Linked DNA regions of Pelodiscus sinensis. The protein of the gene in region 1 purifies or fractionates together with the protein of each later gene. This does not show direct contact. Links are inferred from orthologs where the notes say so. Each region holds a gene or a part of one and is shown on either strand. Other genes may lie near its edges. The genes, in order: KLC1 and CLSTN1.

Region 1 (15,084 bases):
TAGTCTTTAACATCCCTATCTTAGACACTAGAAATGTTCATGATTAATGTATATAACTATGAAGTGATTATATAAAATTAGAGGCTCAAAAGTAAATCTTTTTTTCATGTATTGATTACTTTGGATTTTCTCACATTCTAGTATATTCTGAAAAAGTTCAATAAATATACCAAATGTTTTGTCAAGACAAACCATCAGTAAACATTTTTCTTAATAGCTTATCCCAGGGATGGGCAGTAAGTGGCTCATAAGCTGGATGTGGGATGCTTATTGTCCACCCTTGGCTTATCTATTGCACATATATTTGCTCAATGGAAAATAAGGTCTTGAACAGTTAATGAAATTATAGCAGTTAAAAGATTTAGTAAGTTGTATATATTGAGGTGACCACCTTACAAGCATGATAGCCAATATACACATCTGTGTTCATATGCATATATGAAACACTAATTATTCTTATGAGATTCTTGAATATGCATCAGTGCTCAAGTCCATAATTTTGTAAAAATGTGTCAAACAGCAGTGACATGCAAGCTGGTTTCTATCTTTCAGTTTATTACAAACACCTAGTGACCTAGATCTCATCTGATTTCTTTTATTTTATAGCCACTCCAATTACTGTCACTATTCACTAATTCTCAACGATGGAAGTACTTAGGCACATACTTAAGCCCCCAAAAAAACCTGTTCATTAAGATGTGGAATTTTATTCTGAATAGTTGTAATACTATGTTTATGGTCATAGCAGACAAATGCCAAATCAATATCATATTCCAATTAACCTTGAAATGTTGTTTAATTGCTTTAATGGGTACATTTCAAAACTTATCTAGTAATAGGGGGCTGCAAGGGCAGGGTGGAGCGGGGAGAAGACAGCTTAAAAGCCATTTCCCCCCAGCACTGGCTCTGCAGTGCTGCCTGTCCCCCCTCTCCCTCTACCTATCCCACCAAGATCACACTGGTCATGAAGTTTGGGTGAGATCTTAGCAGCATCTTATTCCTGTGGAATGTTATATAGGGAAGTTCAGTCAATCACCTACAGTTCACTCACTTTTCTAGCTAAAGTGACAGCCACTGGAATACCATCTTCAAAATGAGTAATATAAGGTGCATTCCGACAGTGGTTCAAAAGGGAGGCTAAATGAGGTCCCAGAAAGAAGTAGGTTCTCTGATGGGTGGATAAGTATGTCAAAGCCCTTGAGGAACTTCAATAACGTTAAGCACAAAAAGTCAGAGCATGATTGTTCTTGAAGCTGACAGGCTGAAATTCCTGTGATGAAGACTTTGACAGAAATAAATGAAAGGCCAGACAGTCTGAAGTGCAAAACAGGTAACTAAGGATCTTCTGTCTAAAGGCCTGTAGCAGATCCAGAGTATATTGGGATGCACGTATCAAAATCCATTTACATGAATAAGTCTTTCTTCTGGGCAGATACCTGTTCTGTATCAGGATTTCATGGACTTTATGAAGCAGTCTCTCTCCATAGTACTTGATATGCCTACTGCAATCCAGACTAATTATTGGAAACCTGCATGGGGTTTATGGCAATGGTCCTGTCAAAGCAAGTACAACAATCCAGAAGCTAAATCAGCAGCTAATTGGTCAATAGTGGCAGGTTTGTCAGCCAAAACTAGGACAGAGCTATAAAAGTGCTTGTGGCTTTTTCCAAACTCAGAAGAGACTGTCACCCTGGAAAGAAGGAAGTTGCTGAAAAGGTGTTCAGAAGGCCTCAAAACCACTGCAGAAAGAGGAATGACTTTGGGTTTATGCTCCTTTTGGAACAAGAGTTCTGGTACTTATTGTTAATGGTGGTGAACAAGTCAACCACAGGGAATCCAATGCCATCAGAGATTTACGAAGCTCTACAATGGTGTTCTACAGAGACCACTGAGAAAGTCAGCCTGTTGGCTGCCAACTCCCGGGAAGTAAAGAGCCATTGGATAATGTCATGTGGATGGCTGTTAAAGTTTTCAGGCTGCCCAGGACTGAATGTTACGCTTCTTACCTCCTGCCTCCTGTGAGGGGTAGACTTGCTAAGTGTTAGGTCCTTGGTACATTCAGTCAGTTAGCCACCCTAACAATTTCCTCTGGGCTATACATCCTCTACTTTGCCTTGCAGGTTAACAATAGGTGGACACCAGTACTAGGGCTCCTTTGAAGCATTCCCCTATAATGTTCAACCCCTTATCTAAACACTCACAGGTATGTTGTTTCCCAGGGAACAATATACACACACATTTGAATGATTAAACTCACCATCAGTCCTCATTATATACCATGATAGCACTGAGATATATTTACAATCAGTGTTATTCAACCAGTGGTACAAGTACCCTTAGGGGTACTCGACAGAAGTCTGTGGAGTACGTCAACAACTGAAATTTTGAGAAAACCAAATTTGTGTTTCAAGTTTTATGGTGCTTTATTATTTTTGTACTTTTTACACCCAAAAATTTCATTGCCCACCCAACTATGATTAAGTTGTTTAAATAAATGCGTTGCAACAGTAGAAAAAAATGTTGTGCATCCGAAAACTGTAGGTAAACTTATTTTTTAAGGGAGTACTTTATAAAAAAAAAAAAAAGGTTGAGAAACACTGATCTAGACCATCCCTGACAGATGTTAGTCTAACCTGTTCTTAAAAATTTCCAATGACAGAGATTCCACAGGCTCCCTAGGCAATTTATTCCAGTATTTAACCACCGTGAGTTAGAAAGTTTTTTCTAAAGTTCAACCTAAACTTCCCTGCTGAAATTCTAACCCACTGCTTCTTGTCCTGTCAGAGGTTAAGGAGAATACTTTTTCTCCCTTCTCTTTGTAACAAATTTGTAGATACCTGACATGAAGATAAAGAGTGGCTGCTCAAATCCAAATGTCTCAAGAAACACACAACTTTCAATGAAAAAATTTTGAGACTAAATTTGAAGATACAATGAAGTCTTCCAGGGACACCCAGCCAAACAGGAGACCCAAAAACACGCAGAGGCGCAGAAGAAAGTATATATGTGAGAATTTTGTGACAACCTCATGGAAAGCTCCTCCATCAGCATAGCAACAGCAACTGATTCTGTATTTTAAAGGTGCCTGTACAATACTATTTCGGTTCTCCTGCTTTAATAAAGTAAATATAAAGATTCTTCCTCTTAAATAATTTAGATGCCTCATTTGAAGTTGCATACACCATTACTCTTATGCTGATAAGCTAGATTTTTCTTATTTTGTCTAAACTACCAGGCCGCTTAGCCTCTCATTTTGCCTTGATAAATGGCACATGCGAATAGTTCAATGCTATAATGCTTAAAAGATAATTTAAAATATATAACTAACATCTTATTTATTTTCCTTGATTGTAAATGTTATTTGATAGCAATATTGTTTTTATTAAAAGGAACAGGAAATAAATATAATGTTGATAGATCCTCATATTAATGGGATTGTCCATTCCCATCATCCTCAGAGGAACAGAAAGACTTCCAAACTTTTTAACTGCAACATGATGCAGAAGTGATACTGCATTCTGGTGTGACTTTGAGGAATTGATTATTATAATCCTCTGCCCCTCCCCACATAAGTCTGCTGAGCTCTGAACACAACATAATACTTCTCCAAATTTGCTATAATTTCACAGCAGTTTCCTGTTAAGTAACATGTTAACTATAAAACTGTTCTGCTGACTGAAAAAAACATGAAAGTCCTGTGCTCAATTTCAGCTAATGGATCTGCTTCCTCTCTATTGTCTATGAATGTTAAACTTGTTACTCAATACTATTATTAGTCCTGTGGTTTGGTTATCTTCAATTATATTGTATCCCAGCTATGGAATTAATAACCAATTAAAATAAAATTATTTGCCAAATATGATTTTTGAATAGAAGCTGAACTCAAAATTGTAGCCAACTTTTTTCAATGTTTGTATCTGGAAAAAAATTTCAAGAATGATCTTGTGTGCTAATTTGGACGAATGTTTCCTATGCAAGGTGTAGCTATAAACAAAAATAAATGAGACATCCACCAAATGAAATACCATAACGCACCATGCTTGCTCCTATTGTCACAGCAATACAGATTTATAATATTTTAAGAATCTTTGCTTTTTAGTAAAATCATCCATATTTTAAAATAAACATAGTATAAATTAATTTATACTATCTAGGATGTTTGCTTACTTTTTTATTTCTCATTTTATACAATGCAAACTAATTTCACATTTGTTTTAGTCCGTTTTGCTTACTGCATTACTGTTATGTTTAGTTTTGAAATGATATAGAGAAAAAATATAAATCAAAGAAAAATAAGCAGAAATATATATGCTTTTGTACATTTAATTATCACTTAATCATCAAGATATGATCCCCAAGATACCCTGAACAAAGCATACTACAGAAATGTAAGGCTTACATTTGTTATTTGAGAATTTAATTGACTATAAAGGCTCACTCATTATACAGATAATATGTCATCTAGAAAAAAAAAACAGTCACATTCTTACAAACTAAATTATTTGTTTGAGGGGGTCTGGAAGACTCTGATAAGAAAAGAAGCTTCACCTATGAAGCTACAAAACCTGATGTACATTACTGTTATTTCATTCACATTAAGTGCAGCTTATTGAAGAGTTGTGATTTGGGTTTGTTTTTAAATCTTGCAACTATGATTGGCTTCTGGGGTGAAGACCTCATACATAGAGTCTTAAAGTATAACAATAAAGAGGTATATAAAGGTAACAATCTATGGCTGTTGCTTCTGTAATTTATATAGCCAATCACCACACACGAAAATTCAAGAGCTGTCATTACTGTTCTTTCAGTATTTCAGAACTAGCAACCAACCAACCGAACCATCTATCCATTTTGCAAATAAAGACATTACAAGGGAGGGAATAGCTCTTTATCCCACAACTCTGTCCAGGGTTTCCTCCTTGGGCATCCTCAGGCCCTAACTGCAGCACTGGAGGAAGCCAGGAAAGAGCAAGAAAAGAAGAGAAACAACAACAAAAAAGCTGCTCGCAATCCAGACGAACAGGATCCCTTTCTCTCAGCATCTCTTCAGCAGAATCACCAGTACAGTCACTGCCAGAGCAGGTCCTGGGATTGACAGACATACTGAAGAGGCTGGCTGTAACCATGAGCTACAGAAGGACCGTCAGGCCAACAAGACCTGCCCAGCCTTTTGTTCTGTTTGTGTCATGGGAGAAGGGAAGGGAGGTGAGGTTCAGCGCTCATGGAAAATGGCAAAACACGGACTAACCCCACCCCTTGTCAACCGCCTCCTGCTGCCTCTCTGCACACGCCCCCTACCCACTCCCACCCCATACCCTCCTGCGCTGCCCCAACCCCCGACAGACACAGGGCTCGGCCCCATCCCCCCGCTCTATCCTACTCCAACACGCCGGCCTTGTGCCCATCACCCGCCCTGCCGCCCTCAGCCCCCGACACTCACAGGGCTCGGCCCCAGCCCCCCAAGCTCTATACCCCCTATTCACCAACCCGCGCCCCATCACCCGCCTTCCCAGCCCCCGACAGGCACAGGGCTCGGCCCCAGCCGGCCTCTTCCCTTCTCCCTCACTCACCGCTCGGGTGCTGCAAGCGGAGGCGATGCGCGCAGGGCTCGGCGAGGCGGCCGGGCTCCTCACCCCGGGAGGGCACCGGAGGGGATGTCGGTGGGGGGAGCAGGGCGGCACCACCAACCCCAGCGGCTTCCCCGCCCGCCGGCTGCCGTGGGCGCGCCGGTAGCCGGCGCGGAGCCGCCCGCGGGAGACGCGCTGACAGTTGCGGGCAGTAAATGCCGCCGCCGCCGCGCGTCCCCTTCCCGGCTCCCAGCCTGTGCGGCTCGCTCCGCCCCCCACCGAAAATGGCGGCTCCTCCCGTCCCACAATGCTCCGCGACCAAACCCATGACGTCATCCCTGGGGTGGGGGCAGGAGCTTGCCGCGGGGCGCGTGCGCCGGCAGGGCCCTTCGCCCCGCCTATGGCAGCAGCAGGAGAGTGGCGAGGCGCTGGGACTACCACAGCCCCCTCTGCTGGCCAAACGAGGAGACTTCTCCGAGAGAAGGGTCCGCCTGCAGGGAGAGGGGGTGTCCGGCAGGAGCAATGGTCAGGAAAGTTCCTCTTGACCAGCTCTGTTCTCCCTACTCCGTCTCCAGCCGGTGCAGTGGCGAGATTTTAAGAGTGGTCCTCACTTTAGCATGCTCTGGCTCCAGCGTGTAAGGCTCCCAAATTTACTAAGGTGATTTTGGCCCATGGTGCAGGAGGTACCCCTCCCTTGCCTTGCAATTAGTTTTGCTCCTAATCAGTCATGTCTCTTCAGTCTTCCCATCAGTTCATAGCCCCCCTGGGTTCTTCCTCCCATCCTTCTAGACCTGGAGAAGGAGGGTTACAGAAAGATCTCTCTCCTTTCCAGGCTAACCTGCTCAAAGGGCTCTTCCTCCCTGCTCTGCCTCTTCTAAAACCAGCTGGTGCAGGGAGAGAGAGGGACAGGAGGAGTCAATCAGCCATCCTCTTTTCTGGTAAGAGGGGAGATATCTCCACTCCCCCTTCCCTCTTGTGAGAAAGTTTCAAATTGCTACAAAGAGAGAGGAGAGCACTCTTTCTACAACAACTGTGATTGACTGTTTTGCTCCATCAGTCAGCCAAGTTAAAGAAGGCAACTAATCAAAGGGGTTTCAATGCAGGTAGAGCTCAAAGTTGCTAGCAGGAAGGAGCTTCTGGGAAAATGTCTGGTCACATTTACAGTTAAACATATATACACAAACAGGTCAACTGCCCACTAATGGTTAATTATCTATTGGAAGTTGCAGTAAGGATGTTAAAATGCAGATAATCAGTTAATCAAATTAAATTTTCAAAAACTATTCAATTAGGGGATAGCAGCTGCAGCTCTGCAGTTTAAATGTAGTAGGAGCCAGGTACCAGCTCCTACTCTCCTGGCAGCGGGAGAGGAGCAACTAGTCGAGTATTGACTTGACTACCCTGTAAGCCTAGGCTTATCAGGTAGTTGACTAGTCACTTACAACCATAAATTGTAGCAGGGAGCTACTGAGTAGAGTTCTAGTATTCGCTAGATAATAAATAGGAAGCTACCAAAGGTTGAGTCTAGGGGCAGCCCATGAGCCTAGGCGAACTAGGCAGTTGCCTAGAGCGCTGCTGGCCCGGGCGCCCGATGATAACGTCACGACCATTGATGGCGGTACAGGCAGGGGCGCCAATTGCGCTGCCTGCTTGGGGCGCCAGCTGCCGCAGCCGGCCTCAAACCGCTCCTGGTTGAGACTCTTCACATTATGGGAGCTAACAGGGTAGCTCTACAGAAATGTGAGAATATGAGGAGGAAGAAGTAGAGGACAACCCTATATCCAAGCTAAACATTAAGGCTTCGTCTACGCTGGCAGCTTCTTGCACAAGAACTCTTTTGCAGAAGAGTTCTTGTGCAAAAATTCTTCCACAAGAGAGCATCTACACTGCCATGTGCTTTTGCGCAAGAGCATCCATGGTAGTGTAGACACTCTCTTCTGCAAGAAAGCTCTGATGGCCTTTTTAACCATAGGGACTTCTTGCTCAAGAAATTCATGTTGCCTGTCTACAATGCCCTCTTCTGGAATAGTGATAGAAATGTAGCTGTGTTAGTCTGGGGTAGTTGAAGCAAAATGCAGGACAATGTAGCACTTTAAAGACTAACAAGATGGTTTATTAGATGATGAGCTTTCGTGGGCCAGACCCACTTCCTCAGATCAAATAGTGGAAGAAAGTAGTCACAACCATATATACCAAAGGATACAATTAAAAAAAATGAACAAATATGAAAAGGACAAATCACATTGCAGAACAGAAGGGGGATGCGGGGGGGTGGGAAGGGGGAGGAAGGAAGGTAAGTGTCTGTGAATTGCTGATATTAAAGGTAGGGAGAGTGGGATGTTTGTGAGTTAATGGTATTACAGGTGATAATTGGGGAAACTGTCTTGGTAATGGGTGAGAAAGTTCAAAGTCTTGTTAAGTCCTTGTTGGCAAGTGTCGAATTTTAACATGAATGACAGTTCAGAGGATTCTTGCACAAAAGGGCTTATTCCTTATGGGGAGAGGAATAACTCTTCTGGAAGAAGCCCTGTTTTACAATGCTATACAGTAAATTTACTTCTGGAAGAATGCTCGTGCAGTGTAGACAACCGGCAAGTTTTTGCGGAAGAACGGCTGCTCTTCCGGAAGAAACTGCTAGTGTAGATGTAGCCTAAGAGTTAGAGGGTAGGGTTGCCACGTTTCTAATCACAGAAAATCAAATACCTTTGCCCTGCCCCTTCTCCCAAGGGCACCCCTCCACTCTTCATCACCCTTTCTCTGTTGCTTGCTCTTCCTGCTATTCATTCACTTTCACTGGGCTGGGGTGTAGTACAAGAGGGCGGTCCAGGCTGAAGTTGAGGGGTTTGGAGTACAGAACTGGAGCAGGGAGCTTGGACTTTGGGGGGGGCAGGCTCCAGCAGGGAGTGTAGGCTCTGGAGTGGGGCTGAAGCTTTTGAGATGCAGAAGGGGGCTCAGGGCTAGAGTGGGGGAGGAGGTGTGGCTCTAGGAGGGAGTTTGGATGCAAAAGGACACTCGTGGATGGGGCAGTGGGTTGGGCTGCAGGAGCGGATTTTCGGTGTGGGCTCAGGCAGGACTTATCTTGGGGGTTCTTCCAAAAGAGATGATATATCCCTTGGCTCCTAAGCAGAAAGACGAGCAGGCAGCTTTGCACTGACTTCACCCACAGGCATTATCCCTGCAGCTTCCATTTGCCACAGCTCCCATCATTGGGAACTGCAGAGTTGATGCTGGGAGAGAGGGCAGTGCCCAAAACTTCCCTGATTGTCCTTCTAGCTAATGGTCACAGGGACATGCTGCCCATTCCTGGAAACTACCTAGAGCCAGGGCGGGCAGGGAGCCTGCTTTAGCCCTACTGCACTGCTGACCTGACTCAAAGGCCTGGACAGAAGTGATAACTGGAGTCACCGGGACCCCTTTTTGACTGCAGTTTTTGACCAGGACATCAATGACTAGTAGGGGAATCAGATCTACTTGGTCTGGCAATCCTAGTAGGGGAATCAGATCTACTAGGTCTGGCAGTTCGATAAGTTTTCATGAATATACATAAGATTTAATTAAAATTTGAACATCCTCATTATGCAAGACAGCTGATGCAAAGAACTGCTTCTGTCTTTTGGCTAAACAATATTCACTATCTCTTCATCACCCATAAAAAAATTCTGTAGTTACTAATTTGCCCTAGAGACTCGAATGGCTCTGAATAAAGCAACTACTCTAACATGGCCAGATACATAATGCATATTATATATAGTTTTGATTTCTGCTAAGTAGTAAATATTTCATAAACTTCCAGTCAGACAGGTATCTAATTTGCTAGCTAATCATGTGTATCAGAAAAGACTTGGACTATGTGCTTCTGCAGCAAGCTTCCACCTGATTTCAAATACAATACAAGCCCCTTCCATGAAAGGTCTGCTGGAATAGGCTTCTAAGAGTATGAAGCCCTGCAAAGCTAAGTTATTCAGGGTTTGGTTTCAGCCCTAGGAGGCAGGGCTCAGAGTCTGTGGCATCAGCCTTACAGAGCGGCACTCTGGCTTTCTAACACCCTGAAACCTACTTTTGGCCCCCATGAACCCCAAACATTATGCTTTGGTTGGAACCTGGGCTGCTCCTCCTTTGGAGGGTAGCAGCATTCAGGACCAAACATCTAACCCAAATTTATGGCCCTGTAGCCTGAGCCAGTGGACACAGGCCAGCCCTGAGTGTTTTATTGCAATGCAGACTTACCCCATGGCTACGTCTACACTGCAGGCTTCTTGCGCAAGAATTTTTTGTGCAAGAGTTCTTGCACAAGAGCGCATCCACACTGCCATGTGCCTTTGCGCAAGAGATGTGTTTTTGTGCAAGAGCATCCATGGCAGTGTGGACGCCCTCTTGCGCAAGAAACCCCTGTCCCCATCCACACTGCCTTGCGCAAGAGGGCTTATTCCTCATAGAGGAATAACTCTTGCGCAAGAAGCCCTCTCTTCTGATGCTTTACTGTAAATTTACTTGTGCAAGAACATGCGTGCAGTGTAGATGCTCTGCCAATTTTTGCGCAAGAACACCTGTTCTTGCACAAAAAGCCTGCAGTGTAGACTTAGCCCAAGAGCCTACTGGAGACTGGAAAAAAAGATAGCCATTTACATAGGAATTGATTCTGGTTACACCAGCAGTAAATCTTTTCCTTGCCTGCTCTTGCTTAAGGAGCAGTGTAGGTACAGAACAGTACTTTTAGAGTGAAGTGGCCTGCAGACCCTCGTGGAGAGGAGGGTCATTAAAAGGCTAGGCCAAGTCCTTATGATTCTGTGCAGACTTTCCAGGGATGTGGTAGTTTTGACCATGAAGGAGGGGATGTGGTGTGTAAAAGCTTCCTCCCATCTCAGAAAGAAATCTGGATCTTTAACTCACACTGAAGTGCATGTTTTTACACAAGTTATTTGTGGAAAGGGAGCAAACAGTTCAAGCAATCAAATACAAAAACCTGTGTTTAAATAGTTGTTTTTGTCACAGCTGTTAGTCTAGGAACCTCAGAGTTCAGTCTGACTGACAGTCTGGGCTATAGATAGTCTCTGAACCACAGAAAAATTCATATTAATTCCTTCTACGTAGGCCATTCTGTTACACCATTTTGATTTTCAGAAATAATCTTCCATCTGATATGTTCTCTCACAATGGTGCTAAAGTGTTTTACAAACAGCTTGTTCCTGCACTCTGTGCACACAAAAGATTCCCAATGACTTTAATATATTAATATGGGTTACAGTATGGAGCTACACTGGAATTACTTCATCCATCAGTGAAATACAGCAGCTGTTCAAAAATGTCCGGGCAATAGTAGTCCTCTAAAAGCCAGATTCAGCAGCCTGTCTGGTATTTTTTGCTTCATCAGGCCCTAAGTTGGCAATGTTTAATGCTATCAACTTTATTGATTGCAATTTCTTGCCACTTTCACAGAGCTTTAATAAATATTCCATACCACAAGGTCTGTGCTAGAACAGTAAATATGCTCAGATAAGCACTCGAGTCAGAAAATGCAAAGTTCACAATTCCATATAAACACTCTTAACCTTACCCCTTTGTACATATATTACAATATAGTCTTTGATTTTTTACAGGCAGAATTACACTGGTATCACTGAAGTCAGGGGCCCTAGATCCCTTTTTGCAGTACTCCTTCCTAGATAGTCATTTTTCATTCTGTATGTGTGAAACTGATTGTTCCTTCCTAAGTGGAGTATTCTGCAGGTTTCCTCTTAAGATGCCTCCCCACAAGCACTGCTGCTTGCCCTCCCATGCTGCTGTCTTTGGAATGTCCTTCCCACCTGCCCCCACTGAATCAGTTAACTGGTTAAACTTAACATTTAACTAATTAACTAAGCAAATGGTATTTTATATTCCTTGTCTGTAGAGGAAGCCACCCCCCCAAGTAATTGGAATGGGTCTTCATTTAGCTCCTTAATGGAGATAGGGTTATTCTTTCCTTCACCTTTCCCCTCTATTTTCCTGGGTCTTTCCCCATCCCAAAGGTACAGAACGTGGCACCTGTCACCCGCCATCTTGGGGTGGGATGGGATATCTTTGGATTTAAAAAATCTAGTCCCCATTTTAGTTCCCTAAATCAGCAGTCGCCAAGCAGTATTGGAATCCTCTGGAGCCTCTGACAGATGATCCTGACTGGTTTGGCCAGGAAGCTATGAAGCGCTGTTACTTTAGTTGCCCCTCTGCCCACTGTCATGCTGCTCCTGTCCTCTGCCTGCTGCCCCCCAGCCTCTTACTTGCTGTGCAGGGCGTGGAAGGGAGAACAGGAGGGAGCGCTGATATCAAGGTGTCCCTCCTCCCTCCATTCCTGTACCCTATCTCGACACAGAGAGAAGGGGATGGAGGGAGCTTGGCAATGCAAATAAAGTGTGTGTTATTTTTGGTTTCTGACTGGTCTGTGCATTTCATAATTTTCATTTCTCTCTTACGCTTGCATTCAATTATTTGAGTAGTGAGTTCTAAAATGCCTAATCGTCATGGCTGGAGTAGTTATCCTTATGGGAATTGCTGCTCCTGGAAGTGGCTGGCATGTCCCTGTAGCCCCTGAGAGAGGCAGAGCAGCGGATCTCCACATGCTGTCCTTGCCTGCAGACACCGCTCCTGCAGCCCCAATTGATCAATAACAGAGAACTGTGGCCAGTAGAAGCTGTGGTCTCAGTGACTGTAGATGAGGGGCAGCACATGGTGCCATGGAGCCATTTCTGCACATGCTAGCTGCTTTCAGGAGTGGTACAGGTGTGGGGCCAGGGCAGGAGTCAGCCTGCCTTAACCCCACTGCTTCACCACCTGGAAGCCATCTGAGTTAAACGGTGCCCAGCCAGAGCCTGCATCCTGAACCCCTGTCGCAGCCCTGAACCTTCTCCTACACCCAACCTCCTGCCCCAGACATGAGTCCCTCCTGCACCCGAAGTCCTTCCGAGAGCTTGCACCCTGAAACCCTCTCCTAAACCCCAATCCCTCACCCTGGGCCCAGATCAGTCTGCACCCCAAATCGCTACCCCAGCCTGGTGCAAGCGAGTGAGGAGGGGGGGAGGTAAAAGGGGAAAGCAGTGAGCAGGGTGAGCCCTGAGGAAGGGGTGGGGCAGGGGCAGGGGTGGGGCAGGGCCTCAGAGAAGGGGCAGAGGTATGTGGGTTTGAGGTAGCTCTTACATTGCACTTAAATTGAAAAAGTGATCTTGTGGTTAAAATGGTTGGAGACCACTGCCCTATATCATCTTCTTTCCAACATCTTGATAGCTTTCTACCTCATAGAACACAGGATACCATCTTCATTGATGGCAGACTAACTTTCAACCCATTAAGAACAATGGCAGAAAGCATCCTTTTAGAACAAGAGTAAACAAACAAAAACATCCCACAAGTTAAACCTGAAACCACAAACAGCTTTAGGAAAAAGGAAGTACCCACACATACCCAATACAGAATAAATAAAATCTAGCTCTGATTTAACTCATGAGAATGGCAGGTTTTCCTTGTGACCTCCTTTCTTACAACACCATCCTTTTTGTTCTTTGCCAGAACCCCTATCCTTCACTTCTCTTCTCTCTTTCTCAAAGCTACTTGCATAAGCTTTGATTTCCAGGAGGCAGCTATGGTATAGGCCAGGGGATCTGTTTACTAATCCCGTGAGGAGCAAGGATCTGACACCTTCCAGATGAATGTCCTAGTCATTGGAATAGTCACTACAAAATAGTTCTGACTTTTGGAAGCCCAATTAATATTTAGTTCTTCAGTTAAAGTGGAGATGAGGTAACCACACCTCAGAAAATCCTGTAGCCCAGTGTTTAGAACATTTTAGGCAGATCACTGTGCACAAAGCCCTGTTAGTTGTTACCAGGCTTCGCGTATCAGGCTCTCTCTTTTGACTACCAGCCCTACTACTCTCTAAGGGACACACACTTAAGTTTGGGTTGCAGCGAAGTGCCTAGCTCTGTTCAGTGACCTTCAAGCAGGCATCTGCCACGACAGTCAGGCATCTTAGCCGCTTAAAAGAATTTCCTGTCAGAATGAGTTAGGCACCTGTCTTGTACTACCCAACACAGCTAGAAGAGGTGGTGTCCACTTTATAACTTTGAGCCCAGTGGTACACCATGGCCATATGTTTGCAAACTCTCCTCATTCAAAAACCAGACTGAAGAATAATGGTTTCTAACCTTCAGGCCCTTTTGTGTAGTAATTTAACATCCTTTTCCCTCTCTCCCCCCATTTTATTTTACCATGTGAAATTGTGACTGCAAAATCTGTAATTCATCCCTCATGGGAGGAACATATGCATTTATATCCATAAAGAAAGGATCACATTCTTTTTTATTCTCTTAATTGAGAGTGAGCTAATCCAGGATTAGAATTAAATGTTCTGGGCACTATTTAATTTGACTTACCCTCTTCCTTTTTGTTATAAAATGTAATACATGGGGCTTTTAAGAAATTCATGCTGCAAATAACTGCAAATGCTTTTCTAATTTCCTCAGAAGCATATAATGGAACTAAAGGTTAGAATATAATTCTTAATTATATGTTAAATTAAGTTCAAGGTGCTGACTAGTGGTTGGGTAATGACTGTAATCCTTATGAGCTCAAACCAGCAAACAATAATCCTCTGGGGCTGCTGGTTTTATAGAAACAATACAAAACCTCCTGAGCTCCAAGGGAAAATTTCCTGTGCTGAGGCAGCTAGTGCCCTTTATCTGCTGGTTGTTCTACAGTCAGTTTCTCCCAGGGGCAGATTCTTTGACTCTTCCCAGCCCTATTGCCATATATAAACAATCAAGCAGTGAGTCTGAGATCTGACTACTGCACGCTGCCCTTCCTGTAACTGAAGCAGACAAAGCACTGGGGAAAGAAAAAAGCTTGTTCTCACTTCTGGAAATGTAATTAAAACATACAAACAACTCAGCTGGCTGGAATAGTGGATGGCCTCCACCTAGGAGAGTTACTCTAGGATCGTGTAATCCACGCAAGCTAAAGGCCCCTAAAATGAGAGTGACAGATAAACTAAGTGTAATGAGTATTGGAACATAGCACCTGAGGAATTTATTTTAAAATAGGGATGTTAAATATAGTGTAATCGAATGGTCATGTAACCCCCACTTTTATATATACACACACATACAAATCCAACAATTATTCAAAAAACTCTAGAACGGTAACAACAGAAATCAACTTAAAATGTTCCAAAATTGACAATGTGCATTACACAACATTCTTCATGTGACAAATCATTCAGGGAGAGGCCTTTATCTCAATAGCAGATTTAAAGCTTTTCAACCAAGTGTTTTAACATGGAGATGCAATTAATAATCTGACAGTATACTTCAGAAACTGACAGGGAAAATACAAATCTCTGGGCAAAGCCTCTGCAGGCGTAAATTCTCGTTGTTACATAATAGAGGATTTGCCCCTCAGTTAGGAAGAATGTTTAAATAGATGTCACTTATTGCTGCTTAATGAAACATCCTCTCTTATGATATACATGTTATGATCCATTTAGTGGGTT
Region 2 (15,038 bases), on another chromosome or scaffold:
TTGTTTTGGTATTACTGGGCTTCATATATGAACCACGTTATAATCTACTGGCTGGCTTGGAAGAATTGAATTTTTTTTTTTAACTGGTAAATGTCAGTAAATGTTGATTTCACCATATGCAAACAAAAATGTCCATCAATAATCAAAATTGACAGACAAGCTAAATACAAAAATTATTTTTTTGAACTTAAATATTCACTTTGTATATTTTGACATGAGATGTTGGTAATTTATGTTTTAGCAGCGATAAAGCTTTAACTTTTTGAATCTCAATGTCTGTCATTAAATAATTCACATGACCCCTTCCCATAATTTCATGCAACTGTGAAAATAAATAAAAACAGAGACAGAAAAAATTAAAACATTCATATGTTAAAATTATAAAAAATAATTTAATTCTGTGAAACCTATTCATTCCAGAAAAATGCATAGTTGTAGTGCTGTAGCTATGCCATTATGATTAGTGTCTGTACTGTAGTCATAGGCTGAATTTGATTTCCAATACAAATCCCTTACTTCTGCCTGGGAATAATCTGGATACAATCTGATTTGGGTCTCCCATATGACAACACAGGCTATCTTTACGCAAAATAGTTTATCATTTATTTTGAGGGCATGTCTACACTAGGAAATTATTTCAAAATAACTAAAATTGAAATAACTCCTGAAATAACAAAATCAAAATAGTGTGTCCCTACTACAGAGGAGCCTCGAATTAGTCCAAGGTGGACTCCATTACTGTGGACGCACTACCTCAATTTAGAGCCCCAGGAAGCACTGGGGGAGTAATTACTTCAAATTACTCTGGGGAATAGTTATTTTGAAATAGTAGCAGCGGAGCATCCATACTATCTCTATTTTGAAATAAGCCTTATTCCCCGAGGAAAGCAGGAGTACAGATTTTGAAATAATTCCAGCCCTTTATTTTGAAATAATGGACTTGGTAGTGTGGATGCTTTGCTTTTTATTTCTAAATAAAGGGGGGTTAGTTTGAAATAACTCCCTAATATAGACCAGGGCTGAGAAAGTTATAAATTCATGCGGTGGAGTTTTTTCCATTTTTCTTTTGGTTACATTGGAGAAGACCTCCAGGAACTGTCAGACTTTCCTTCAAGATTGTGTTTTTGTTAAGATGTAGGTGAGACACCATATTGGATGGAACTCAGATTTTGCTCACTCCCTCCCCCCATGTGGGGCAGTGGAACTTGGATAGGCTCAGAGTTTGGTCCCTCTCTCCTGGGGTTGTGAAGTTATATTTGCTGTCACGGGGGGGGGGGGGGGTCACCAAACAATGAAGTTTGAGAAACCCTGACATAGGTCAATGTAATTGTAAGGTCTAGACTAGACCAATGTTTCTCAACAAGTGGTACGAGTACCAGAGAGAGGTCGGGGGAGGGGAGGGAAGGGGTGGGGTACATCAACACAACTGAAATTTAGAGAAAACTGAATTTTTGTTTTAAGTTTCACAGCACTTTATTATTTTTGTGCATTTTACACCCAAACATTTCATCACCTGCCCAGCTACGATTAAGTTGTTTAAACAAATGTGTTGAAATGATAGAAAAAAAATGGTGTGTCTGAAAACTGTAGGTAGTGAGGGTACTTATAATTGTTTTAGTTTTGTGTTTGAAAAAGGGGTACTTTATAAAAAAAAAGGTTGAGAAACACTGGACTAGACCTTAGGGAGCTCCTGTACAGACTGACACAAATTGCAAATTCAGTTAATAAAAATGTACATTAATGAGACTGTAGCCTGTGATTTTACCAGAGTTAAAAACCAGATAGACAGAAATAAGCAGTGGGCAAAGAAATTTACAATGGGTATTTCATGAGTAATTCAGAAAGGAGAATGAAAGCTTACAAGTCACATTCAATTTTTACAACACCTTAACTAAAAAAGGCTATTTTTACAACACCAAAGATTTCTACCAGTATAATTTATGGCTCATATTGCTTTGCTGGCTGCAAAGTGGGAGAGTGCACTCTATTTCTATGAGAAAAGAAAAAGTAGGTAGTGCAATGCTGGAAACAAAGACATAACAAAATATACTAGATTAGACAGCATCAGTTTTCTTCCACTTTAATCTCTGCAGACACATATAATCTCATTTGTACTGTGGATGGAAAAACCACTTAGCATTGTCTCATCCAACTGATAAAGTGGCCATTATACCACACCTTACCCAAAAGTATTAAAATAAAGGCTTTTCTACCAGTAACTTATCCATTTCTCCTTCACTTCTTCTCTTTTAGATCCATTAAGGACTTTAAAAAAAGGATACCACACAATTCTTTGGATGCAGTCATTTTTTTAGGAAAATCTAAAATTTTGCCTTTTCTGGAGTGAAAAGAGGAACCATATACTTTAGGGATGTCAGTAGTCAACCAGTAAGCAACACCCTTACCTGGATGATCTTTCAGACTAACTAGCGGCCCCGTCAAGCTGGAGCAGCCCCTCCTGGGCTCGTTGGGCCCATCGCACCATAGGCTGTTTAAATGGTTAACTGGTTAAACATTATGTTTAACTGACTAACTAATTAAATGGGATTTTATATCCCTAATATACAACATTCTGTATAATGAAGACTGTCCACAGTAATGTCTGGAATAAGCTATCTGGAATATGGTAGTTGTAAGAAAGTTATTTGTAGGTAGGACTGAGAAATTCATAGGAACACAAGAAACCTCTTGAATTGCTCAAAATCAGTGATGATTTCCTGGGTATAACTACTGTTTTGATTTTTTACTGTTCCTTTCTGTGATCTTCATCACTCAGTTAAAAGACATGACATAAGGCCTGAGGTGAAGCAGAAGTAGCTAATGTTTTACCTGACCAATGTCTGAAGAATGAACTGTCTTCTCATTCAAAAGACAGAAAGAAAGGAAGCACTCCTTCCCTTTACAATTTAATTTCCCTTTCAGTTCCATTTATCAGAGTGAAGTATTTAACCAATGCTTTAAAGAGTATTTCTCAATGCTAACAGTTCAGCTTTTCCAATAATTGATGTAAACATGTTTAACAATTCTGTTATAACACACAGGCTATGTCTACACTACAGGCTTCTTGTGCAAGAAGCTTTTTGCAGAATACAATTAAACTAGTATTTATGCAGAAGAGATCTTCTGCAAAAACTTCTTAGGCAAGAGAGCGTCCACACTGCAAACGCGCATTGAAAAAGTGATGTGCTTTTGCAGAAGAGAGCATCCACAATACATGGATGCTCTCTTGAAAGAAAGTGTTGATAGCTATCCACAGAATGTCCACCAGAGCACCTGTGCTTTTTCCTCTTTCCTGTTTTTGTGCAAAAAAACCCTGTTGCCCGTCCGCATACACCTTTTTGCATAAGAACTCTTGCACACACAAAAAAGAGTTATTCCTCGTAGAAGGAGGAATACCTACACCGGAAAAACCCTTCTGTTCTTTCATTTTACTTGCGAAAAAATGCACTTCAGGTGTGGACACGCTGCAAATTTTTGCGCAAAAATGCCTATTTTTGCGCAAAAACTCTGTTGTGTAGACCTAGCCACATTCTTAGTCCAACATAACTATTACAAGATAAACATTAAAGAAATAATTTCATAAAATTGCCTTTTATACTATGGACATTAAACTACATAGTATGGACTTTTAACATTTATATTCTAGTTCTTTGCAATAACAGGATGCATTGATTAATCAAAAACTAAAAACTGACATTTAAGCTTATCTAATTCTCTGAAGGACAGAAACACTAGAAAGAAATCACAACTGAAGTATGAAAAGCACATTGTCGGGTCAAATTCAGATGACAATTTAGGGTTTTTAGATAGATTAGATAGACCTACACACACACAAAACCTTGCCCAACTTAAAATGTTTCCATATTTTGTCATGTTGGAGTTCTTGTTTATTTTAATTACCAGCAAAAAAAACAGCTTCCCATCCCAAAGATATTTTCCTGCAGTGTTTGCATTGTGTTAAGAGGACCAGAAAGTTAAACTGATTATATACAACTAAATTGATTAGTCTGTTCTCAGTATCAAAGATGAATGACATACCAGTATTCAATTAGTACTGTTTGCTTTTTAAAACAGTTAATGTGTTAGTAACAAATAGTATATGGAGATTCGCTATTTTTAATCTATGAATGTAAGTATATTTTTTTCAGTTTTAAGTATAGCAACAGAATGCTAGGCTATAAATTACACCACCATGACAAGCTTTGCTAGCTTTCACTAGTCACTGGATTCTTTCTATATTTTATTTAAAAGACAATAAACATATATTTAGATAAACAGTTTCTAACTGTGCACATACCAAAGCCAAATGAAGTCTCATAAATATCTGTAACAAGTTAGTTAAGAACTAATCTTTAGAATCTAGCAACTCAGAATTCTACTCTAGTAAAAGCAGCATCAGGATGGACAACAAACACAGTTTGGGCTCTAACAAGAAATTGTAGATTTAATACTAGCTGATTACAATTAAACTAGTATTTACGTACAACTTTCTACAGAAGTCTCAGAATTACATAAAAACATAAAAACAGGCAAGTAGAAAATTAAGTTTCTGCTGCCATCTTTTCTAAGAAAAAGAACAAAGGCAAGAGTGTATTCGAATCTTCATTCTAATATTGATATCTCAGCAAGGTAACCAAGTATTCATGTTCCACAGATACACAGTATTAAAATGAAATTACAAGATGATTTAATAAATATTAGATAAAATATTGTTACATTTTGGTCTTTAGATTAGTAATAACTTGTCAGAGTACCTAAAAAGAGCTTGTGCGCTTCATAGACAGAAGCCTTTCAATTGCTTATGAAGTCCGGATGCTATTACAAACTAGTGGATGCTAGGAAAAGAAAATGCAGTCCACAAATACCACCATCAGATCAATTAAATAATCTTACAGAAACTGCCCTTTTTAATATATAGGTTCACATTCTGGTAAAGAACAGTCTGCAATACTATAATGAAATCTGTTCAAAAACAGATCTGCAATGCGTATGCTTTTCAGTTTGCAACATCAATCAATATCCAACACTGAAAAGGGTATATGGCAAAAGATGCAATAAAATTGTATTTGCTTTAGGAACAGGACAATGTTCTCTATTAAAAAAAACATGTCATTGGGAGAGGCTCGTTGAGGTGTTAGATTTCCCATTTCTATTCCCAGTTAATGATCAAAGCTCTTCCACTAACCGAAATACCACCATAGTTTTAAAAGCTGTGCACACACACAACTACCCTGCCTTTCAAGAACCAGCTGAGAGACTGTTTACAATATGCAGCCAGTCTAGGGCTGCATGGATAGTCTTACCACATTTCATGAGTTCGGACTATGTTTGATACAAGTTACGACCTCTACACCTCTATTAATTTAAAACCAAACTGAGCTTAAAGAAAAGAAGAAAATATTCACAATGTAAAATCCAAGAGTTTTTGGAGGAACAATTATGTAACATCCACACACTCCTTGTTACAGACCCTAATCAAGGTAACCACAAAACCACAAAACCAAAACAGAGGCAGAACGATTATGGTTCATGCATTCTTCTTCTCACTCACATGGGGCAGGCAAAATATGGCTCATCTGACCTGCAGCCTGCCCTCTCAGGCATAGAGCCTGCCTGAAGGTCCAGCTAGTCAGGAGCCACCAAGTAAGTGCCTCTAGGCCAGAGACTACACCTGACACCCCACCTTCTCCTACACTCCAACTCCCTACCCCAGGTCACCATCCCTTCCCTCTGCACCCTTCTCTCCCAGGTGACAACTCTCTCCCAGACCCTGCACTCCTCTCACACTGCTCCCCCAAGACAGAATCCTTTCCTGCACCCCGCACCTCCTTCCTAATTCCCTATCCCAGGTGACAACTTCCTCCTTCACCCAAACTTCCTCTCAAACTCCACACCCTCTCCTGTACCCCAATCCATAACCCCAAGCTCCCTTCTGCACCCAACTTCCATCTAAGACCTCACATCCCCTCCATTGAAAAACGCAGCCCTTGATCACTTACCAAAATCTCAGGGTGCCCCCTTCATAAAAAAGTAGACACTGCACTGATATATATCTTGATGTCATTAGCAAAGCCAATGCCTTCCCACCCTCTCCCAGAAACCCAGGAAACAGAGTCCCAAGCAGGCATTAGCTCAAGCTGCATCTGCCAGGAGGAGGAAGAGAACAACCTAACTTGAGGTGGGCAAGTCTTCCTTACCAGGAATAACCCACCACTACCGCCTATCATCACACCTCAGCATTAAAGAGAAGTGTGGGTAGCAATTCCCCTCCCTAGTCTGTAGGGCTTCAACTTTGCTACCCCCCAACGAACACACATGATAAATCATCCCCAGATCTGGCTGTTGGGAAGTCTCCTTCACTGGGACAACTCTCTCCTCCTTCTTCCATCATCTATGATTGTGATGTTTGCCACACTATGTATGGGGATAACTCCCCACCCCCTAAGGCAGCACCACTGAGGAGAGGGACTAACCCCCTCCTATCCCTAGCACTCTGGAGAGGGGTATCATCCTGCTGTGCCCAAAGGATGGAGGAAGCCAAAGACATTGCCTCCGCCCACAACTCAGCCCCCTCATAGGAGGAGATTTTGCTCAATGTAAAGGGATTAATTCCCATATGAAATAAGTGAAGGTTAAATTCCACCAGGAGAGGGATAAAGGAGATATTACATGGGGAAACCAGGTTCCTCCATCAGCGAGAGGAACACAGGGGTTCAAATCCCAAACAGAGGTAGGTAAACTGGGTGCCACAAGGAGAATGCACTTAGACCCCCACCAAAGAAGGGAACAGAGGGTTAAATTCCATAGCGATTATAGCTAGGATGTAGGAGATGTTACAGGGAATGGAGTAACCCCCACCCCCACCACGAAGGGGAACGGGGTTAAGCCTCCCAGAAGGGAGAGATGGGGTGCCCTAGGGTTACATCGTTAGATGGGGGATGGAGCTAGACATCCCTGAAGAAGAACGGGTGCGGACTAGCCCCCGCAGAAGGCGGGTGGGGTGTCCCAGGGAAGGGGTGGAGGACAAGCCCCCGCAGAAGGCGGACAGGGTGACCCGGGGAAGGGGGTGGTGTCCCGGGGAATTGGGGGGACAAGCCCCCGCAGAGGGCACGCAGTCTCCAGGGAGGAGGTCACTGCAGCAAGCTCCCCCCCCCCCCCCCCGCCGCACGGCTCCAAGGCTCACTCACCTCTAGCAGCCCAGAGCCCCCCGCAGAGCAGCCCAGCGGTCAGGAGCCAGGCGGGGGCTAGGCGGGGGCAGAGCATCCCGGGGCGCAGCATCGCGCGCGCTCTGCCCGCTCAGAGTGGCAGGGGGGATGGACCCCTAAGAGACAGAGGAGGGGGCCCCCCAGCGGGCCTGGTTGCGTCCCGCGCTGCGGGGCGGAGGGTTAGGGGCGCTGCGAAGGCTCCGCTCCCCTCCTCAGAGCGCAGCGCTCTGCCAGCGGCAGCTAGGATCAAGATGGCGGCTGATGCCTGGGCTCATTCTCTCCCGCACCGGTTACCAGGCGGGGGAGGGGGGCCCAGGGAGAAACCAACTCTAAGGGAGGGATTCGGGAGATGAGGAATGGGAGAAACCATCTTATCCCTCTGGCGGAGGGGAACAAACCATTTGGAGTGGGGAGGGGGGGGCAAAAGGAGAGGAGACCACACCTTATCTCTGGGGGCTAGAGGGCAGAACCATTTATGGGAGGGGAGCACCTTATTTCTTGGTGTGGATTCGAGGGAGGAGAGAAACCAAACCTGTAGAGGGGGGTATCAAGGGAGGGGATAACCCACCCCTCCATTGGGTGGCTGGGGGTGGAGGGAAGGAAAATACCATCTGGGGCAATAGAGAGATGGGAGAAGCCATCGCCTCTCTGTGGGGAGAAGGTGGTTTTCACTCTTCTACCTGGAAGGAACCAAGAGTGTCCTTCTCAGGTGTCCTATCACAGCCTCTGAGCCCCTCTGCAGAGTCCAGGGCTGGAGCGTGGGGAGGGCTCCTTTCCTTTGGCAAGGGAGGGGCAGGGGGCAGGAGGCCGGTGCTCATGTGCCAGCCCTTTTGCATGGGTATGAAGCATCACCCACTGCAATCACACCGGATTTGCTCTGTGTAGGTAGGAGCGGAGGCGGGAGGGAGGGAGAGTCAGAGGCACCATCCATTTTGTCCTGCCCTGCAGGCTCTACTGCTGCAAAGGGGCAGAAGGTAGAGGAGGATGCTCAGCCCCGTTGTGCACCGTGGTAAGCACCACCGAGTGGGCGCCACCCCGATCAAAATAACTAACAATGCGGGGCGTGCTCGCGTGGTCTGTGTTGGCTGGAGCGGAAGGCAGCGCTCCATGCCGGTGCGTGATTCAGTTTGCACTGCAATGCAGACGTCTTGGGATGCGGGGAGGGAAGGCAAGAAAGGCTCAGTGCCTTTCGCGTCGCAGTCAACTTCACACTCCACGGCAAACTCGCGTGCTTTCCCCTGGATGGAGGAGGAGTTAAAACGGTGGCCCCTGTTAATTATTTATTTGTGGGCACGTGGAGTGGGCGGATGGTGGGGATGTGAAATGCTGTCTCACCCGCGATGCTTTTTTCCTTTCTGCGTTGTATTAAAATTCACAAACTGCAATGCAGTGTAATCCACCCAGGAACCAAACCCCTTTAGTGTTTACTCGGCCAAAAATCCGATACCAAGGACATTTTGCCTGGGTAAGAACTGTTGGAAGATCACAGGATTTACCTAAGAGACACTTTGCGGTGTAATTGCCCTGAGGCAACAATTATTTTAGGAGGCTAGATTTCCCTTCAAAGTATGTAGGATTGTTGTCTTCTTTCTGTTGTTGTGTACTTAATTTCCACTGTTGTGGTAGTTTTTCCTGATTTTCCCCAAATAATCATTCATTGTTTACCTTACTGCAGTTGAAATGAACTGTTTTACAAGATTGCTCTGTATCTGGCGAATACAAAAATAATGTTTTAGGATCTGAAGTTATTTTACGAACATTAACTAATTAAACTTCATTACTCCGTAGTGGGACACTATCAAGTCATTTAAAAAAATACTTTTAAAATAGTCCATTTCCTGATACATCAACTTTTAAATAGTATATCTTAACCTTCTAAACATCCCTTTACATTTTTATAAGGGATTTGCCTGCTCCTGTGTTAATGTTTACAGAGATGTTTCCAGCAAGGCAAGATCTGGCTCACCCTTCGCCCCTCGCCCCCCACTACAAGTCCTGCAATAGGGGAGTTTTGCCCATTGACTTCAGGAGGAACAGAATCAAGCCCTAAAACCCAGATTCTGCAAGACATATGTAGAGGTCCACTCACACATGTCACACTATAGCTGGGAGTCTTTCGGGAAAATGGTAAAAGACACCTGTATAAAGTACTGTCAAATGCACAAAGTGGAAAAAACAGAAAAATATGGTGAAGTATTTTGGGGGGGGAGTGTTTTTTGGAGAAGGTTAATCTAAGTCACAATAGTGTACACTTATCTAAATGCTTGATATTAAGTACATACATAAGTATGTAGGATCCCAGCTATAGGTGATTTCTGAGTTAGTGTTCCTTTAAGAATTATTAGCCCCATTTTACAGATGGGGAAACTGAAAGTACAAAATACCTTTCTCATAACTGAACAGTATAAACTTTTCTGCATAAAGTAGCTAAACTGTTTTTGAAGTACCTAAAATATGCAGACGTGCTGATTAGTGACATGCATTTTATGTACATGGATTTGTTTTTTTAAATTAGGATACAGGGTTATTAGTTCTATCTGCGAAAACATGTAGGTGCCCCACATAGAAGATTGCATATGAATAATTTAGGGGTATAGTACTTGTATAGCTGTAGAAGGGTGATTGTCTCAGCTTCCTTTGTTATTGCTCTTTGATCAAAAAATTCTATCAGAGAGCCAGATCCAAAAAGGAAAATCTTACCTTCCCAGATTTATGGAGCTTCATAAAAGACAAAGTGAGACAGACTGATTTTATCATTACAGAAATAGCTGGTTTGCATTTATTAGCAATTTCACTTCCACAGTGAAATAAAAATAAAACACAGACTGTTTTGACACCCCTGATATGGTTTTTGTTTCCATCTTTTTTCATATTTAAACTCATCATGTGACTTTAGTGCTGGTATCACAGACAGCTCTGTTTATCTATAGAACAGGCAGTCCCAGTAACAGCTCCTCCCAGGTTGTCCCATCAATGTAGTAGTAAAACAAATTCAAGATGTAGGGGGGGCCAACCAACCTTCCAGAGGCAAGAGGATAATTTATTTCCGACACCTGTCAGTCCTTGATCTCTCTTCTAAAAGACAATTAGTGACAATTATGATGTGTTTTGTCTAATGGACACTTCATCATTGAGAACTGGATAAAGACAACCAAACACTTTTCATGTAGGCCACCAAAAAAACCATTAAGAAGCGACTTTCACTCTCTAGCATCCTGGGTTGGATTTAAATCAGAACCTGAAGGTAAAGATTAGCACCAATCCCCTAAATTATCCAGCCCACTCCAGGATGCTTTTTGTAGTTTGGTAGCTACACATTCTATGATGAAAATATGACTGCTTTCTCAGTATAGAGCCAAAATCTTGTGAGCATATATCCCACTACATGACAGAGAAAAGTAGTGAAAGAAGAAACTGAATGTCCCACAGCATTAAAAGGAGCTTGGAAAGTCTAGTGCTTGGTGCAGGATGCTCTGAGCCAGAATTCTTGGGTTCTATTCCTAGAAGGGCCAAACATTTTCTATGTGGGTTTTTTTTAAGCAAGTTACTTAATCTTTCTGTGCCTCAGTTGACCAATCGGTAAAATAGTAATAATATCTTCCTTACAGGGATACTTTGAAACTTGGGTTTGTAAAATAGTGTGTAAATCTCACATTGAAGGTGCTATCATATCCACAGTATTATTAAAACAGACTGACTCATTAGAAGATGACAGAGAGCATTATAGAATGGGGCATGATCCAGAGAGGTGTGGAGTATCCACAACTTCCCTTAACTCAAGTGGGAGTTGTGGGTGTTGAGCATCTCTTGGGCTCAGTCACAGGGCATGTCTGGATAGGCTCGTTTTCTTTACACAGTTCTTTATAGATGCATCATTTCCTCTGCAAACTGATGCTCAAGGAAAATGAAACCCTTCGGGGATCTTTCTCAGTGAGGCTCCATCCTCAGGGAACAGCTTCTGCTACTCAGATTGCTCTTTGAATTTCCAAGGTGCCATTCGGCAGCTGGAGAAATGCCATATCGTGGATTGTTCAAAGAGTTTTATTAGAGCTTAATATGATCTCAAGGATGTGCCAAGTTTGTCATTACCTGACAATACAATTTTGTTAGTTTCTAACAAAGTAGCAGGGCTTTGACCGCTTGTATAAATACACTTGTAATGTTATTACTTCCTTTGTGGGGAGCAAGAGGGTGGATTTTTATTATTTTATTTTTAGGTATAAGCAGCATAAATACCAATGTCTGACTTGCCAATCCAAAAGCTTCAGGGGGTAGCTGAGTTAGTCTTTACAGGATAAATTTAAAAAACAACAAATAGTCTATTAACACCTTCAAGACTAACAAAACATATAGATATCATAAGCTTTCGTGGGCACAGCCCACTTGCCAATCCAAGACTGTTGGTACAATGACATCAGCCAAGATGGACCCAGAGCATCAGGGCAACTGAATCTGACATGTTGCTCACCAGCAAATAGAACAATTGGGGGGAAAAAAAAACCTCTAAGAATTTGAAAATCAGAAAGCAAACCAAAGTAGTCCCACAACATTAATTTGCATCCAGATGAGAGAGAAAAAACATTCTACACACACATTACAGCACTTTTGCTAGCACCATCATGTTCTGAAAAAAAATCAAGAAACTACAAACTAATATCCTGAGGGAAGACTTAGTCAGTAATAGTCTCCCTGATTGCCAGTTGAGCAACTCTCTGTAATCATCATCAACCAGTTTTCCTCACAGCTATTTATATTGGGGGCTGGTGGACAATTCAGCATACCATTTTATCAGCAGCTAGAAAGTCAATCTGCATTTCTTAGTCAAATCTCCCATTAAAATGTCTTGATTTCTCAAAATGCCCAACTGTGAGGATTGGGAGGTTCTGACTGTACCACTTTTCAGTTGTGGATTAGGTTATGTAATGGTAGCATGACATTGCCCTGCCTTGGAAAGCTTATATGTATGTGGCACCACTATGAGTCAGCAGGGTTGGATCAGGTCTCTGCCACGCTGGAGATAAAGATGGATGACGAAGCAGAAAACAACAGTCTATTCAAAGTAAAATACCTTGGGACAATAGGTTTGATCTACCTCCACTTCACACACATGTGTGCGCACACACACACACATACAGGCAGTCCCCCGGGTTACGTACAAGATAGGGACTGTAGGTTTGTTCTTAAGTTGAATTTGTATGTAAGTCGGAACTGGTACATATTGTAGGGGCAACTCTAGCCAAACATTTCTCCAGCGCTCAGTTTTATTCTCCCACACCTAACTTCCCTCAGTCCTTTATTCTCAAGCTGAGGTGTCTGCTGAGAAAAGCCGCTCTGTGTCTCCCTGGTCTGCTGGGGGGGGGGGGGGGGGGGTGCTAGCTTTGCGTCTCCCTGGTCTTCTGGGGGGAAGCAGCTAGTGCGAGGTTGCCTCACCCCGTTTGTAAGTAGGGATCTGATGTAAGTCGGATCCATGTAACCCGGGGACTGCCTGTATATATATATATATATATATATATATATAAAACGAAATTATAAAGGGACACACAGAGGGCAGATGGAACCATTTTGCACCAGACTAAGATGAGGGTGAGCAAAGAACCCTGCCTGCCTGATGGAACACAGGTGATCTCTCAAGGAAAGGGTGAGCTACCGGAGGACAGTGCATTTAGTATAGTGTTTTATGGTTTTCTGTATGATCTGTATTCTGTGTGTTTTCTTAAGTAAAGAGCTGTGGAGCTAGAATAAGTGCAGAGGCAGTTTACTCTATGGCAAGGTCAGGTCATCACATGGCAGTTTATGTCAACCTAAAACTGAAATATCTACACTAAAATGTCGTGCCCGCTGAAGTAACTCGTCCATTCTGATGACTTAATAATTCCACCTCTTTGAGGCATAGTGCTCAGGTCAATGAAGTTAGATCAACACGGTGTCAGTCCATTACTTACATTGACTGCTGCTGCCTTTCAGAGACCATATCGCAATGCCCCACACTGACAATTTAACCAGTGCAAGCGCTCCTAGTAAGGACACACACCTGCACTGCAAGCAGCATAAGGTAGAGATACAAAAGCAATTGACTTACTTCAGTGACTAAGTCAACATAAGGTCAATGTAGTTCTGTAGTGTAGACTTGCCTTTAAAGTTTAAGCATTCACAACTATCATGTTGATCCTGAAAGAGAGAAACAGTAAACTGAACGCTTCACACCTTTTGGGTGGAGTTCCAGGAAAGTAGAGTTACTTAAGTACCAGGGAGCTGATGGGTTAGAACTGCATGCAGAGGGGCTAGGTAGCTGGACAATGGGTTCCAACACTCAGGGTTTGTCTACACAGCAGGGCTTAACTTGAAATAAGCTACGCAAATTGAGCTACATCAATTGCGTAGCTTATTTCGAAATTGGGATTGTCTACACCACAATTGGGAGCATCTACACCATGGCTGGTCTCCAGTAAGGCCCCAAGAGCTTAAAATACCCCCAGAAAACCCAGGGCAACACAGATTTGGATTCCCTTTATAGCAGTCCTACTAGGTGGCTAGGAAGGGGTACTTGCCAGGATAAGTGACACCAACATATGCTGACACATTATATTAAAAGAAGCTTAAATTAATGGAGATTGCCTATCTCTTAGAACTAGAAGGGACCTTGAAATTGAAAGGTCATCAAGTCCCATCCCATCCCTTCACAGCAGGACCAAGTACCATCCCTGACAAATATTTACCCCAAATGGCCTCCACAAGGATTGAACTCACAACCCTGTGTTTAGCAGACCAATGCTCAAACCACTGAGCTATCCCACCTTCTAGCCCTGCTGTTGCAGTATGTATCTAAATCCTGACATTCTGTCAATGCTTCACCAGATGAAAATGTGCAATAATATGTATTTTTCTTTTAGGTGGCTAGTAGGAGTCGGATCCAACAAATCCTTACTCACACAAGTAATTTTATTGACTCAATGCATAATGAAGGACCACACACAAGTAAAGGTTTGCAGGGCAATTAAAGCACAGCCACTGATACCTGTGTGATAAGGCAGAGATCTGATAAATCCTCCACACTTGGGAGTCTTTAGAAACAGAATTGTGCACTAACTCTGAGTGGGAAATGTAAATGTGTCAGGATTCAAAGCAGTATGGACAGTCCTCTCTGCAAAGTAACACATTTTTCAAATGTAAATCAACAAACAACGAGCTCTTATTACATACAACAGCAAAGAAAACAATATTTAAAAAGCAAAATCCAGAATGCCATGGCTATTCCTGTATCCGAAAATAATGAAAATAATATTAAATAATATTACCGTCTCTCGTACGACAGTAAGAGATTTAACCTGAGTTCTGCTAAAATATGTGCCCTTAATACCTTTTTTCCAGCTAGAGTGCCATATCATAAGTTTGTCAGGAGGGGAAATATTTCTGGGATTAACTAAATGGTTCCAATCCTGCAAAACCTACAAAGGTGAGACACTGAGGAGAGAATATTTCGGGGCCTCTTTATATGCTGATATAGATGCTTTCCCAAATTAGCTTTTTTTTTTTTAAATGAATGCATCTGCAATTATGTCATGGGGTGCTATGGCACTAGCACCTTGTTAATTATTCTAGGTTGGGATGGAGCACCATGGAGCTGAGAGCTTTCCAAAGAGCAGATAGGTGCTGCCGGTATCTCATTGAATAAAATTCTTCCATCAGAGTCACTGCTGATTGAGTCAGTAAAGTCAGTGAGATTTAAGTATCATGTTAAGGACTTTTTAAGTGTTTTGCTGTGCTGGAGCTCCTACAACCCAGAACATTACACAGTGTTGTGGTGTTGGAAATGCCAGTTCTGGATGAAACATA

The links.
Region 2: the proteins of KLC1 (region 1) and CLSTN1 purify together in Homo sapiens (co-immunoprecipitation; 3 studies listed by BioGRID and IntAct, with this or other methods). This does not show direct contact. The link is inferred for Pelodiscus sinensis from reciprocal best matches to the Homo sapiens genes KLC1 and CLSTN1.

The regions. Positions count from the first base shown.
Region 1 is NC_134714.1:20,262,378-20,277,461, forward strand, and holds the start of KLC1 (kinesin light chain 1), read right to left. Parts: upstream 5,860-15,084; 5' UTR 5,571-5,859; intron 1-5,570. UniProt on the Homo sapiens protein: Kinesin is a microtubule-associated force-producing protein that may play a role in organelle transport. The light chain may function in coupling of cargo to the heavy chain or in the modulation of its ATPase activity.
Region 2 is NC_134733.1:12,832,524-12,847,561, reverse strand, and holds the start of CLSTN1 (calsyntenin-1), read right to left. Parts: upstream 7,535-15,038; 5' UTR 7,279-7,534; coding exon 7,188-7,278; intron 1-7,187. UniProt on the Homo sapiens protein: Postsynaptic adhesion molecule that binds to presynaptic neurexins to mediate both excitatory and inhibitory synapse formation.